Linked DNA regions of Oryza sativa Japonica Group. Each later gene encodes a partner of the first gene's protein in a complex. Links are inferred from orthologs where the notes say so. Each region holds a gene or a part of one and is shown on either strand. Other genes may lie near its edges. The genes, in order: protein TIC110, chloroplastic; protein TIC 40, chloroplastic.

What was found.
Region 2: protein TIC110, chloroplastic (region 1) and protein TIC 40, chloroplastic share a complex: the UniProt entries of both Arabidopsis thaliana proteins name them as parts of the tic complex. The link is inferred for Oryza sativa Japonica Group from reciprocal best matches to the Arabidopsis thaliana genes TIC110 and TIC40.

What each region holds. Positions count from the first base shown.
Region 1 is NC_089044.1:19,363,804-19,368,250, reverse strand, and holds the start of protein TIC110, chloroplastic, read left to right. Parts: upstream 1-1,458; 5' UTR 1,459-1,662; coding exon 1,663-2,186; intron 2,187-2,730; coding exon 2,731-2,790; intron 2,791-3,985; coding exon 3,986-4,109; intron 4,110-4,227; coding exon 4,228-4,296; intron 4,297-4,379; coding exon 4,380-4,447. UniProt on the Arabidopsis thaliana protein: Involved in protein precursor import into chloroplasts. Forms a voltage-dependent cation-selective channel at the inner envelope of chloroplasts, which specifically responds to a transit peptide.
Region 2 is NC_089038.1:22,289,893-22,294,292, reverse strand, and holds the start of protein TIC 40, chloroplastic, read left to right. Parts: upstream 1-1,442; 5' UTR 1,443-1,521; coding exon 1,522-1,714; intron 1,715-2,223; coding exon 2,224-2,338; intron 2,339-2,418; coding exon 2,419-2,476; intron 2,477-2,563; coding exon 2,564-2,581; intron 2,582-3,890; coding exon 3,891-4,143; intron 4,144-4,282; coding exon 4,283-4,400. Other genes in the region: uncharacterized protein, read left to right, coding at 109-588. UniProt on the Arabidopsis thaliana protein: Involved in protein precursor import into chloroplasts. Part of the motor complex consisting of a co-chaperone (TIC40) and a chaperone (HSP93) associated with the import channel (TIC110).

The DNA.
Region 1 (4,447 bases):
TCTTTGTTATAACAAAAGCACTAAAAATTGTGCTTACATTTGTGCATAGTGTTATATATTTAAGTATTTAATGCAACACTTGTAAAGTGATAGTAATAAAATATATGGAGTATAAAATTACAAATCATCTCTTCTAGGTAGTAGGAAAAATAGGGTCACTTCAGGAGTGGAGAAAAGCTTGACGGATGACCACAAAATCACAGAAATATCGCAATCACATGAAATGTGTTATGGACACTTATAATAGACATCGAAAATGACTTCTGAGAACAAAACAAATTGTAGAAAAGCAATGCTATGCACGACATCTATATATATACATCCCATTCAACATCGTGTGTGAGAGGTCATAATTGCGAGCCTAATTTTTCTATTAAATTTCACATCTTTTAACCAAATGTTTCAAATACTACTGTAACATTTGAATGTTGAGAATGACGTGTAATAAGTAGCCATCATATGAATGATTGCTCATGTACGACATAGGATAAACTCATCTAACATACGTCTAATTGTGATCGAAATAAACCCCATATACAATACGTATTTACCACTATTTATCTCTCCTAGAAATCACCATATTATTCACAGGCCACCATTTATAGATGTGCAAGCTAAACTCTCTCTCACCACCACCACCTCCGTCGTTCCCGCTTGTCCCTCCAGATGCGTTATTGTTTACATATTATTTTTCATCTCGTATGATGAATTTACTTTCACACTATTATATTTTTCTCACCCTTAATGACTTTATTGTAGAGATTGACAGTATGTAACCTTCTGCTCCCCTTTGTTTTCACCGTAGTCTAACAAGCTAGTGCCCAATATTGACAATCATAATTACCTCCTTCTAAGAAGAAGAAGATAATCGCATAAAACAACCATCAATACAATTTTAGAAGTATAAGTAACCGAGTAATCCTGACTAGGAGTTTGGTTTCGTGGTCTTATTGGTGGAAAACATCACACACCTCCTCTCTCTCTCTCTCTCGTATTTCTTTTAGTGTGTCTCACGTGTCTTTTGGGGTGACTCCCATGTATTCACTCTATTTATTCCGTGTAAGTTCATTTGATGTAATATATTTATGTGAGCAATTCATTCCTCGGTGATCCGTCTAAAAAATACTCCCTCCGTTTCAGGTTATAAGACTTTCTAGCATTGCCCACATTCATATAGATGTTAGTGAAACGGAGGAAGTATAACAACTGAATAATTTGGATGGTTCCTATTTATTTTTCGTGGGAGAAACGCATTCCACAATACCAATACCAACAACCAGTATACTTGTGTAGCCCTGTTCATGTGAGATGCAATGCATGCATACAGTATACGATACACCGGACGCCATCACCTGGCGACAACCCGCTCTCCCGGTGCACCGCACGTCTACCGCTGGTCGCAGGCGCCCACCCAACCCCAACCCTTCCCTTTGGTCCAGCCGCCCCTGCCCCGACCTCACCAATCCCCGCCTCGTAACGCTATCCCATCTCCTCCTCCTCCACCTCGCCTCTTCCGCCTCATCCACCACCACCTCCTCCCCCCCACCACCCGTCGCCACCCTTCGCCGCCGCCGCCGACGAGGACCACCACCACCACGACGGTGGAGTAGCCGCCCGCGAACACCGAGGCGGCAGGGGATCCATCATCCCACGACAACGACCATGGAGCTCGCCCTGGCCTCCGCGAAGCCCTCGCCCTCGCCCGCGCCCGCGCCCCTCCTCTTCGCGCCGCTCAAGCCCCTCCCCCTCCTCCGCTTCCCTCCCCGGAGACCCCGCGCCTCCTCTTCCTCCGTGGGGGCGAGGCTCCGCGCTGGGAGGCGCGGGCTGAGGCTGCTGTGCCGCGCGGCGGTGGGGGCGGGGGAGGAGGTGTTCGGGCCGAGGAGGGAGCTGGCGGGGGTGCAGCCGCTGGTGGAGGCGCTGCCGCCCGCGGCGAGGACGGCGGCGGAGCTGGCGGTGGCCGCGGCGGCGGTGGCGGCGGGGTACGGCATCGGGCTCCGCGCGGGTGGGGGGTCGAGGGCCGTGGCGGTCGCGGGCGCCGCGGTGCTCGGGGCGGCCAGCGTCGCCGGGGCCGCCGCGGTGAACTCCGTCGTGCCGGAGGTCGCCGCCGTCGGGCTGCACAACTACGTCGCCGGATGCGACGACCCCACCAAGCTGGAGAGCGGCGAGGTGGAGGCCCTCGCGACCAAGTGAGTCGTCTCGATTGCTCGACTATATTGTAGGTGTGCTGCATTGGCCGTATGGCCCGTATGCTCGATTCGATTATATATCAGATGTCTTGACTCCCACCCTGCAATGTGATCTGTATTTTCCTTCCAATTTATGCGCCCTCCTAGCATTTACTCATTTATTTTTGAAGCTCCCATTTGTTTTCGGAATGCTAGTAAAATTTTGGTGTAGCTTGTTTCAGCGAATAAGGAACCTATAATTATTTCGATAATACATTTGATCGGCTAAAATTACCTTTAGGGATGGGACATATAGTTATATTTTTGCACTAAAATGTTTAAGGAAAAGGCTATACGTACTACATTTTTCTTATTAAACTCTCTTTACACTAATGTGTCATGTTATGAGTTCATCTACATTTCCTATAACTCCTATCTAGTTAAATCAAACAGCTGATATCATTTTGTGTAAGAATTTTTAAGTATGTGCAGCAGTGCTCAATGTAACATTGCCCCCACCCACACACACAGAAGCAAAAAGTCTTACCTGTTTATTTTGTTTCAGATATGGAGTTAGTACACAGGACGCAGCCTTCAAAGCAGAGCTCTGTGATTTGTATGCCAGGTGATCCTCTTGGCACCTGTTGTCCAGTTGTTTCCAATGCTTTATTTGAATGTTGGTAAAGAATGTCCATACGGAAATGGCCTCTAAGCCTAACTGTATTTATGACACTAATTCTGTTGTGTTCTATGTGTTGAATTTGGCTCAAGTGCCCTTATTATAGCTATTGTTTTCTCCTAGACACAAGTATTTGTTCTTGGATGTTTCCCCTCTCTTCTCTTAATATTCACCCGTCCCAAAGTATGGTGTTATTTTGCAGTTTTTAGTTGTCGATATGCAATTTGAGCTTCAACCATTACATCCAGTAATTTATATTATTATATACCTTGAAATATACAAAGAACAGCTAAAATATTACGTAAAATAATATTTACTAATATCATTTTTATTGCCAATCTATCAATGCGGACATCTCGATATATATATATATATATATATATATATATATATATATATATATATATATATATATATATATATATATATATATATATATATATATATATATATATATATATATATATATATATATATATATATATATATATATATATATATATATAGTAAATTTGTTTGGTGCTCCATGGTGCCCGGGCACCATTGTTGAAATTGAGTATATACCCAATTCAAATGAGTATGAAACTTTTTCAATTACTTAGGTATTAACATTAACTACTTTACTAACTAGTTCAAAGCATGTTTGTACTGAATTTGAACTTGTTTTTGTTAGATTTTGATTCTAGGTATATAGCATCCATACATATAATTAGTTAGGTATGTAATCATGGATTGTGAAATAAAGTTAAATTTGAGTTGTTTTGTTGATAGGTATAGATATGAATCGAATTATTATAACTAGGTATATACTCACAATTTGAAAATTTTGAAAAATTTGAGTGATTTTGTACATTAGATACCATGGTGCCCGGGCACCATGGTGCCCCATATGAGTGTCCTATATATAGTATATATATATATTTTGTTCCAATCACATTTCACATACCACAGTTTTGTATGTATGTGCTCAGACGTAGTTGCTTCTTTTGGCAAGCTCTTGTACATTACTCAGTAGCTAAACTAGATTCTTCTAAAATCAATCTTTAAAAATCTACCATTTATTGGTTGCATCTTATTGTTTTGGTCATGCAGTGTATATAGGAAGTGTCTTTGCTCCATCTTACCTCCATTTTATTTCCAGGTTTCTTTACTCAGTACTTCCTCCAGGAGATGAAGATCTCAAAGGTGATGAGGTTCAGACCATTATAAAATTTAAAAATGCTCTTGGGCTCGATGATGTAGATGCTGCAAATATGCACATGGAGGTATTGCCTCATGATCCAAGCCCCTTTATATCTTACTTGCCTGAGACGTTCTTCCTACTTTAGTGCCATTTTCACATTTCCTCCATTACTCCTTATGCCTTCGACTTTGCTTGTATAGATTGGTAGGCGCATATACAGAGAAAGGCTGGAAACAAGGGACCGGGATGCCGACATGGAACAGCGGCGGGTACGTTTTTGTGCTGTGATACATAAATGGATGTTTAAAACTTTCTACTGCCCCTGATGATAACTATTGTAAATATTTTGCAGGCATTTCAAAAACTCATATATGTATCAAATCTTGTCTTTGGGGATGCATCAACATTCCTGCTTCCATG
Region 2 (4,400 bases), on another chromosome or scaffold:
GGATAGAGGGAGTATTTGCTAAGATAAAATTACTTCTAATGGTTCACAACAAAAAATTCTTTTGGCTCACTGTAACTGATTACGTTTCCTTCGTCTATTTTTGTACAGGTTACTAAGAAGAAAGACTTGAGTGATTTTTACTTTGGTCTTAGTAAGAATGTTGCTTTCGGTGCACAGACACATGACAATACAAAACATGCTAAACCTGAAAAGTTAGACGAGAAAGTTCAAGATGCTAAAACTAGCAAGGTTGGTGCTGAAGTATCCGATCGCTCTCCTAAGCACAAAAGGGACTCCGGTGAAGGAGCAGAGACGGCCAATGAAAGTAGAAGTGTGGAAGAACCTGCTACAACTCAATCAAGGGATTCAGCTGCTGCTAGATCTACCGAGAAAAATGCAGATGTTTCCTTGGATGCTCCTCAGACCCAGACACCAGAAAATACCCAACCAGCTCCTCAGACCCAGAATCCACAGAATACTCAACCAGCACAGATCACGGATGAACACTATAAGAGAAATGCTGATGCACTTGCTGCTGCCAGAGAAAGAGCTCTGGCGCGGAAGAAAGCCAAAGCGCAGCAGATATGAAGTACGAGGCAGAGATACTCACCGAGTTTTTTCTTATAGGCTAAGGTCATCATATTCTTGTTTGAGGTTTCGGGAAGACTGTAAAATGATGGATGGTTTCACCCTTCTAGCATTTCCAGGAGATAATCCCCTTGGTTTGATCTGCATGATGCTCTACCTTGCTTGATCAAAATATATGTGCAGGCAACCCTTCAACGTTAGAATATCTCGTTCGGCTTTTCTGAACATTTGTTCTGCTGTAAGATGGGAAATAACTTAGCACAGTGAACTGAAGGTTGTATGCATATGTTCTCATTCATGTATACCGTTGTACTTTTGTAACTTGAGTGATTGAACGCGATATGATTTCTGCAATGGCACAAATTACTACTACTAGTTACACTCCATTCCATGGTGAACGGGATTACTTTAATTTTCTCTCTTCTCTCAAATTCAGAACCAAAACATTGAACTTTGTCAGTTAATAACAAGGCATAAAAGTTGTTTATTCGACTTTACTGGATTTCCCTTTTCATTTTTTGAACTGGCCCGAATTGCATTTTGAGATATTCGAATTTTGAAACATCGCATCTTAATTAGTAGTAGTATTATTTTTTTTCATCAGTGGTTAAATGTTGCTGTCTGCAATTAGTGCCTGAAATGAGCCGCTGACAGTCTGAAACTCTGAATGTCCCGATAGCGATGGATACTAGCCCCACGCAGCGGAAGGCGATGACTCCCCTCCGTTTCAGCTTCCTATCACTCACCGCAGGGGTAAAAGGGGGAACGTAGCCTACACAACACGAGCCCGAGGTCTCTCGTCGACTCACGCGCGCACCCACCCACCCAAAACCCTAGCGCGAGTGGGGAGGGGCGAGGGGGTGGTAGTTGTAGTAGCAGCAGCAGTAGAGCTAAGCTAGGGTTTTCCCTCCCCCCGCGCGCGCAGCAGGCGGCATGGAGAGCCTGGTCCTCGCCTCCTCCTGCTCCGCTTCTCCCCGCCTGCCTCCCCTCTCCGCGGCCCGCCGCCGCCGCCCCTCCTCGCAGACTCTCCCGGCGACGGCTGCGGCGTCCGGGCGGAGGGGAGCTGGGAGGTCCAAGCTCGTCGTCGTCGCCGCCGCCGCCGCCGCGGCCCGCGGGTCCGGGAACGGTGAGGGGGGTGGTGTGCTTCTGTGTGGGTGTGCTTCCGTTTTAGGTTTGTTCGTTAGATGCGAGCCGGATGCGCTCTTTGGGTAGGTGCGCGCTGAAAGCTCTCGTATGCGCTCGCTTCAAGTGTCCGTGCTATAGTGTTTTTTTTTGTGGGATTGTCAGGAATTTTATTATACTCTGTGTATCAGCTGGATCCATCGCTGTGCCATGGGCTTCGTTAGTGGAATTGAGTGTGTTATCCTTGCGAATTTAGTGACCTTAAGTCATGCATCCGTGATGGAATACTGTCTTTATTTTCGTAGTATGGTGGCAGTTGGTGAGTTAGTAATGGCCACCTTATCCAGTATTGGTAGTGTGGCAAATGATGAGTACAAAATGGTCAGCATATCTGTCCTTGTTTGTAGTAATAGCCGACGAATAGACAATCCCAATCAGCTTAGGATTTCCCCCATTTTAATCTTATGCTGCCGGAGGATCTCCATTATTCTGATTGTTTAGTTGTAACAACAGGTTTCGAGGGATTAAAGACAAATGGATTTGCAAGCATGTCGTCTTCGACCAACAGTGAGAATATGTCAACTGGAACGGGTTCCCTACCTCCCATGCCACCCCCATCGTCATACATGTGCGCCAGTTTCCCTTCTTTTGTCTGGCTACAATTTTCTCAACTTACACTGCATGATGACATGTAAATCCTTTGTGCAGCGGTTCGCCTGTTTTCTGGATTGGAGTTGGTGTAGCATTGTCCGCAGCATTTTCTATGGTGTGAATACAATTACCTGTAATGCTTTTTTGTGATTAAATGTTCTTAGAGTTGTATTTTAATACTTGGTGTTGGCTGTTATATCAGGTCTCTTCGATGGTAAAGGTGAGTTCACAACTTTCCTCTGTTTCTACATCTTCAAATGGTATGTACCCTATCAATTGCATACTTGATCTTGAGAATGACCCATGGTCACCTCTGCATACTAGTACATAAGCAAGAGAGGTATTTTAGTGAGCTTTTTTTGTGATGAACCTACATACCCACATGTGAGCCATGCCTTCCTTTCTAGTTCTTAATAGTTTGAAGCAATGCATGGCATATGTTCTAGCAAAGGTGGTACTGTTGCAGTGTACTCCCTCCGTACTCGTAAAGGAAGATGTTAGGACAATGTTTAAGTCAAACCTTGGGAATATAAATCATGAATAACTCTCAAGTTGTTGAGTTTGAAAATGTAAAAATTATATGAATAGATTTGTCTTGAAAAATACTTTCATAAAAGTATACATATATCACTTTTCAATAAATATTTTTATAGAAACAAGAAGTCAAAGTTGTGTTTTGGAGACCGTGTCGCTGTCCAGAACGACTTCCTTTACGAGTACAGAGGGAGTATTGTAGTTTTGTTAGACAATTCATTTTCTTATCACATAATTTCTAGTTCTTTTCAATATTGATAAAATAGCATAATATCCATGCATTGTGATGGATGTCAAAACAATTTGGTGTACTCCCTCCGATTCCATAATTCTTGACGTTTTGGACAAGGTTGAGGTCAAATTTTTATAACTTTGACTACCAATAACTTTAAAAATATTTAGTTTAAAGGTACTAGAACAGCATATTTAGATTTGTCTTATAAAGTACAATAATAAAAGTAAAAATATATATATTTATTATATATTATAATAGAAAAACATAGTCAAAGATATATTTTGAAGACCGTGTCATTGTCCAAAACATCAAGAATTATGGAGCCGGAGGGAGTACTCACTAAGATCAAATTTTTTTATATATAAAAGACTAAAGGAAGTCCTCTAATGTAAATTCTGCATGTAAAATATGATCATATCACCTCACCCAGCTTCAAAATATTGGCATGTAAAATAGTGCAATATTTTACAAAAAAAACCTATAAGTAACACACATGTATACATAAATTCACCCATAAAAGATCCAAAGTGAGGATGATACAGCATCATCACTTCCACTAGTTCTTTTAATTACTAGAGAGTTAACATTGTTGCACCACTTCTTTTCTCGAAAGTATATCGTGATGTATCCATTGTTGCACTGATTTAATTAATACAATGTTCTCTTTGTAGGTTTGATCTGTATAATGTCTTGTTGGAACTTAAAATCGTATAACTCTCCCTTGCTTGCCAGTTTTGACACATTGCTAATTCTGATGCAGAAATATGCAATGCAACAAGCATTCAAGTCAATGATGACCCAGGCACCGCCAAACACTTTTGGCTCAAACTCGCCTTTCCCATTTGCCATGCCACCACAGGCAGCTCCTGCAGCTCCTAGCAGTTACCCATACTCACAACCAAGGAAAGATACCTCTCCTCAATCTGCAACTGTCGATGTTTCAGCTACTAAAGTGGAAGCAACTGGAACTTTGGAAGAGGCTGATGTGGCTGAACAGCCAAAGAAGAAATTTGGTATTGGCCGTTTATCTCTGAGAATTCTTCTCCAACTATCAGTGAATAGGGGATGGAGCTTGTGATTAGTGTCTAATCTTATGTTTTCTTCATACTTTTGTCATGCATATCTCATGTTATTGTAACAAAATGTTTGCAGCCTTTGTTGACGTTTCTCCTGAAGAGTTGCAGCAAAAGGAACTTCAATCTTCACTGGAGACAGTGGATGTAAAAAGTGAGAGTAAACAGAGTGAAACTATGGAGGATACTGAGCAAAA